2 linked regions of the Arabidopsis thaliana genome follow. The protein of the gene in region 1 interacts with the protein of each later gene in a pairwise test. Each region holds a gene or a part of one and is shown on either strand. Other genes may lie near its edges. The genes, in order: AT2G04830 and AT4G14815.

Region 1 (3,338 bases):
ATGATGAGACAGATTATTGGAAAAACTCGTTAGCTGTTTTGTGGATAAACGAGACAACAAGAGATTATGTTGTTGCTTGGACATTCAAACAAAAGTACTTGTTCTCACACAAGAAAGGAAATGGTTTCTGGTTTAATATGAATCTCAATGGAAAAAATATGGATGTTTTGGATATGGCTTGTGAGAAGAGTAAGCTTTATCTGTTCACAAGTGATTATTACATCAAGAGTTTTTATTTCTCTGAAGGTTCCCCTATAGAGGAAGAAAACCCGTATTCGAATCATCCGTTTATAATTGTGAGCAGAATGAATTCATTAATAGAATGATTTACAATATATATAGGTTCCACATTAGGGCTTAATGCATAACTAATTACACTTATGTCCTTAATCTACACTTCTCCTTTACACACCCCCTCAAGATGGAGGCAGTTCCTTGACTCCAATCTTGTAATTGAGCTCTTGGAATCGTGGCCGATGAAGCGGTTTGGTGAGTGCATCGGCTAATTGATCTTTTGTTGAGAGATGAGAAACGCGAAGAGCTCCAGTCTGAATGTTACCTCTAACAAAGTGATAATCAAGAGCTACATGTTTCATTTTTGAATGGAACACCGGATTGGCGCAAAGATAAGTAGCACCCATGTTGTCACAGTAAACAACTGGTGCCACAGGTAAGGAGATCCCCATTTCTGAGAGGAGAGAACATATCCACTGAAGTTCGGAGGCAGTGTTGGCTACTGCACGGTATTCGGCCTCCGTAGATGACCGCGAGAATCTTCGTTGTTTCTTTGATGACCAAGAAATGGGACTGCCACCAAAGTAAACAATATATGCATTGGTCGAGAGGCCGTCTCCGAGATCTCCTGCCCAATCCGCATCTGAAAACGAATGAACTGTGAGTGGAGCATCAGATCGAAGGAAAATACCATGTGATTTCGTTCCCGCAAGATATCGCAAAACTCGTTTTGCGGCCTGCCAATGTTCATCGGTTGGTTTATGCATGAACTGGGAGAGACGATTCACCACGAAAGCAATGTCTGGGCGAGTGAAAGACAAATATTGAAGACTCCCAATAATCATGCGGTATTCTTTGGCATCGTCGAGAATCGTACCAGAGTGTAGTGAAAGCTTCGGTGTTGTAGCCATTGGCGTAGAGATTGGTTTTGCATCTAGCATGTGCGTCTTAGCCAAAAGATCTGTTATATATTTCCTTTGCATCAAGTGTAGGCCTTTCTTAGTGCGTGTTGCCTCAATACCCAAGAAATAGCTCAATGCACCAAGATCCTTTAAGGAGAATCGATCTGCAAGAGAAACATTAAAGTTTTTGACAAGCGAAGCATCTCCGGTAATGATTATGTCATCGACATACACCAAGACATAAAGATATGAATTTGCCCGCTTGTAAATGAATAACGATGTGTCAGCCAAGGAGTTCGTAAAGCCAGCAGCAAGGAGATAATTTCGGAGTTCTTGATACCATGCCCGAGGCGCCTGTTTTAGACCATAGAGAGCTTTGTTCAAGCGGCAGACATGTGTGGGGCGATCTCTATCAAGGCCAATATGATTTCGGAACAGAGGCATGACTGAGAAGAGTAAGGCCAGTCTCAACAATATGGCGATGCTTTCTCTCCGATATCCCGTTGTGTTCGGGAGTGTGTGGTGGTGTTGTAAGATGAGAGATGCCGTGTGTTGTCAAAAACGATCGCATGGCCACAAATTCACCACCATTATCAGAATATAGGGTGCGGATTCTACACTGAAACCGGTTTTCCACTAATGCCTTGAAAGCAACAAACACTTCTTTGACTTCCGATTTTTGCTTCAGTGGATATAACCATGTATATCTAGTAAAGTGATCGACAATTACCAGATAATACTTGTAGGAATCCATTGACATAATGGGAGAAGACCACACATCGGTATAAAGATATTCAAGAGGTTGAGTGGAGGTAATTTGTGACTTTTATTGATAAGACAATCGGAACACGACCATTGTTTTTGCTGGGAATTTGAAAGTGGTAACGAAAATTGAGAGACAACAGAATTAAGAATTGGTAAAGATGGATGACCAAGCCTAGAATGCCATGACGAGAGGTCAGGAGAATAGCGATTCAGGAGAATAACTTCGTTGGGGAGCCTTCGGAATCCGTTTGGGGGAGGAAAATAGCGATTCAGAGATCAGGAGAAGTACTTATAGTCTTGAGCTTAAAGGAAATAGTGAAAAATGAAGAGAAACTTTTGTTTTACATCTTTAAGATGAATCTTGAGAGTTACAAGTGGGAAAGAGTTTACTCTATTGGAGATGAGATGTTGATTTTTGGTCGTGGGGTTACAGTACCTCTCGCTCTTAAAGATCTTGGTCACGGAATCAAGAGTGATTCAATCTATTTCGTCGACGACGAAGATGTTTGGCCAGATCATAAAGATTGGCCAGATTATAAAGATCATGTATCGAATTGCGGTGTCTTCGATATTGCCACAAGTAAGATCGAATGGCCTAAGAAGATCTATTTTTCCGTTAATAAAACTCAGTGGTTTGTTTGGGGAGTTGCTTATTAGAGAGGAGGCTATGGAGTGTAGGAGTATTCTTATATTTTGTTTTTAATGAATTCAAGTTTCCCTATAATTCTAGTGTTATTCAATCAATTGATTTTTGAATTCTATATATGTATAAATGTTACCATGGTTTTGATGTTAGTGCTCATTCGAAAGAATTTAATAGAAAATTCATTACAAAAAATTATGATCTATGTGGTCTTTCTACTCTTACGTGAAAGTTATAGAGCAGTTCTGGTTATTTAAGGATCCCAGGATACAACCTCTATAAACTGGTTTTGCAACACTCGAAAACACAGTTCTAACAAACATAGTTTCTACGATACTCTCGAGTTTAAGACATAGAGAGGTTGTTGGAGATGTTTTACTTTCAAAATATGTGTGAACGTTCAAGTGGTGCTCTGCTAGTGTCCACAAAAACTTGAACTGTAACCTTCTTCTATAGGTTTGATATACTTAGGTTTTAATTTGTTTCTTCGCAAAATCAAAACCATGTCAAACAAAAATATAGGAGGTAGTGGGTGACTTGATACTTCAACGACTCCTATTTTTAAGGAGTTGAGGAAGCGAAGAAGACCTGTTCTTTAGCAACGTGGAGTACAGAGCGACTTGTTTCCTCTTTTCAAGACCCGACCCGACAACCACCAAAGCTCCAACGTGAGCTAGACCATCTCTTAAACCCATTTCTTTAATTTAATTAAGCCCATTAGCTTAAGTAAAATTTTGGTCCAACACAACTCAGCCAGTCAGCCCTCACTCCACTAGCTCTCGTAACCATGTTCT
Region 2 (3,517 bases), on another chromosome or scaffold:
GTCGCCATTTTTGTTGCTTCAGAGATCTCTCGTCTTCGTGATTAGAGTTAGTTACAGAGATTTCACACTTATGGCTGATTCGTAGCGATAACTGAGATTGTATGACGATGGTGGCGGGAAATAAACAGTTGTGGAGGTTTGATAACGAAGTTACTAATTTGCCCCTATATTGATATTTTCGGGTGATGCTGAGTTGGTAGTGACTGGCCACTAAGGTCCGTCCACGTGGGTGAAGATTAGTTTCGTTTGGGCTTTTAGATTGAATATCAAAGCCCACAGTTTATGTTTTTGACATTTTATAGTTTAGTTGACTTTGAAATTTTATACTTCTGTTTTTTAAAGAGGATAAATAAAAATCTAATGGTTACGGCGGTTGAGGCGAACAAAACCTTCAACAGATCATACCGCTTTTTATTTACCATTCATCAATTATAGTCCGCAGTAGTTCGGACCAAAAAAAAAGAAAAACCGCAGCAAACCGTTTTTATATACAAATAAATTTGGTACGCACCGATTTATTGTCCGCCCAAAAATAAAATGGATTAAACTGCAGAAAAATTAGACCTTTTTGTCCGCCGCATCCATTCAAAGTTTAAGTGGGAAAGTTAATTACTTATTTAGTTGATATTCGTTTGGACGAGGGCTCCCGAACACATCGTAAGCTAAATCGGTGCTGACGAATAACCAGCCCACAACAAATAGGAAATGTATGGAATAGTAATACTATGAATGACCCAATATAGAATACTGGTAATAATATCATCAAAAGAACGTTCTCATGTGCTTCCAAACATACTGAACTCAATATAAATTTAGAGAATCAATATAAATTTAGAGAACATAACAAACATAGACAATTAAAAAAAAGAAAAAACGAACAAACATAGACTTGTGAAACCGTTATAATTATCCATGGAACTGTTGATGCTTGTGAAACTGTAAAATCCACCAAAATGCCAGATATTCACGAAGAAACCTGCTCAACAGCTGCTAGAAAAAGGATAGTGATTGTGATTTATCCGTCCATAACGATCCATGGAGCTGTTGATGTTTGTGAAACGATAAAATCACAATTTCCTCGTAGCTGTTATGCAGATATCTTCGTGAAATATCTGATATCTTGAAGAATTTTTCTTGAAGGCTCTTTGCTTAGTTTGAATATTCGTTGACCGTGGACTCGGTGGTTCGAGTTAAGTTTCGTCAGAAGATGTTTTTTCTTGTCGTGGTTTTGTTTTTCGGTGGTCGTGAAGATCGTGAAGTGTTGGCTAATAATGGTTTACGTATGGTGGAGCATATCGGAATCTCAGTTTCTGAATAAGAACGCAAACTTTACCATATTTATATTGCAAAAGTTGGTCATGCTCTTTATCAAATAGAGAAGTTAGATCATGCAGATTAAGCCACATCCTGACATCCTTCTTTTTGTTTTTTTTTTTTATGCGACATATATCAGTTTCTATTTATTTACGAACTCCCAAAAAGACTCCAACACAAATTAAACCAATAAACTCAAACAACCATATTAAAATGAACAATTCACAAGTAAGTGTTTGGTGTTGCTTATAATTTTAATGGTTTCTACAAATTTATCTACGTATCTTATTTTTTTTCTTGTTTTTTTCATTGAAAAGGTCAGCAATCAAATTTCAATCAGGTGAAACTCAAAAACTTTATATAATCACAAAAAATAATTCAACAAACATATCCTTAAACCAAACGTAATCATATTCTTTCACAAACTTCACCATAAGGTGTTGCAAAAGTTGGTCATGCAAATTGAGCCACATCCTTATTTTCGTCTTTTTCTGCGGCCTCAACTTCTTATTTATTTACGTAACCACAAAAGAAAAGACTCCAACACAAACCATTAAGCGATCAAACAACTAAATTAAAAAAAAATCTTGAGAGATTCTTGGAACACAAGAAAAACATGAAACCTAGAATGTGTTTAATCTTGTTTATTGCTTTAATGAGAGTAATGTCGATTGTTTCTGCTCAGTCGAGTTGCACAAATGTTCTAATCAGCATGGCGCCGTGTCTCAGCTTCATCACTCAAAACACTTCTCTCCCGTCTCAACAATGTTGTAACCAGTTGGCTCATGTTGTCCGGTATTCTTCTGAGTGTTTGTGTCAGGTTCTCGATGGTGGAGGTTCTCAGCTTGGGATCAATGTTAATGAGACACAAGCTCTTGCTTTGCCTAAAGCTTGTCATGTTGAAACTCCTCCTGCTAGTCGCTGCCATAGTAAAATAAACTCACTTTCCATGCATTAGATTCATATTTTTGCTATCTTTTTTCTCTCACACATCAGAACTTTATTATTTTCAGGTGGTTCTTCGGTTAATTCACATTCAGGTAAAGGACTAACTTATAAATAGAACCTAATCTAATCATATCTATTTTGACATTATCCTTTTTTGACATTATCTCTATGAACAGAACATGGAAATGGATCAAAAACAGTCCCAAGAGAAAAGTCATCATCTGATGGTTCTATTAAGTTCTCATTCCCTCTTCTCGCCATCCTATTCACAGCTTCTTACATTACATTAATCTACGCAAAATACTGACTTATTTTACCAATAAAGCTTTTGGCCTCTTTGAAGAACATATTCATTTTTAGTCTCTATTAAATCGCGGTGTATTGTGCTGAAGTATTTTGTGCTCTAAATCCCTACTTTCTAGGTGATATTGGTTTGTAGTCCAAAGAGTGTGATTGTATATCTTTGATTTATGCAATAAACATTATTTTCTAGCTAGGACATATTTGAAATACATGATATATATATGTATTGTTATCACTAACATATGTCTAAACATCACTTAAAATTTAGAGGGAGTACTATTGTTATCACTAACACATGTATTGTAGAAGGAGTACGATTGCTATCACAAACACATGTATTGTTGCCATTTTAGTCACAGTTTCTAAATATGAGCTTTGTCTGTTACCCTAAATGTTATTGCTCAATGTTCACCATAAACTTTTGCGCAGAGTGTCGCGTCTCTATCCACTTTTTCTTTTGCCGGTAATTTTACGAAGGGAATTATCGCCTTTCTCAAAAATTTCTCTATTTTTAAGTTGCATACTTGTAAATCGTTTTGGTATTTCTCTTTTAATATTCCAGAACATATGTTGTGAAAGCTATAGACAAACATTTATATGCTGGCTGAAATCTGGAAGACAGTTTCTAGCAAGAGTCAAACAAATGTCTAGAGAAGTCAAAGCAACAATGATAATGGAAATTAACTAACACCTACTTTTCTTAATCAAACTAGTGATTCACTAATTTAAATGTGAGATTGACAGAAAAATTCTGCAAACTTTATTAAATTTAGTGATTCTTATAGACTTGTTTAGAAGACAAGTCATCAGTTTTTTTATAGAATGTAGTATTGTTTTGTGATAATGAATTTGTAGTTTTTGTTCGCAAGTTATACTAAATATTAATTGATATGTGCATGAAATGAAGGTCAAATAATGGTAGAAGGGGACCCTTGAACAAGACCACCTTTGT

What was found.
Region 2: the proteins of AT2G04830 (region 1) and AT4G14815 interact in a protein complementation assay, tested with the Arabidopsis thaliana proteins (one large-scale study listed by BioGRID).

Annotation. Positions count from the first base shown.
Region 1 is NC_003071.7:1,693,176-1,696,513, forward strand, and holds AT2G04830 (F-box only protein (DUF295)), read left to right. Parts: upstream 1-2,179; 5' UTR 2,180-2,255; coding exon 2,256-2,558; 3' UTR 2,559-2,681; downstream 2,682-3,338.
Region 2 is NC_003075.7:8,503,192-8,506,708, forward strand, and holds AT4G14815 (Bifunctional inhibitor/lipid-transfer protein/seed storage 2S albumin superfamily protein), read left to right. Parts: upstream 1-1,851; 5' UTR 1,852-1,930; coding exon 1,931-2,243; intron 2,244-2,327; coding exon 2,328-2,354; intron 2,355-2,438; coding exon 2,439-2,569; 3' UTR 2,570-2,761; downstream 2,762-3,517. Other genes in the region: AT4G14805 (Bifunctional inhibitor/lipid-transfer protein/seed storage 2S albumin superfamily protein), read right to left, coding at 1-8; AT4G14810 (uncharacterized protein), read left to right, coding at 954-1,049, 1,154-1,318.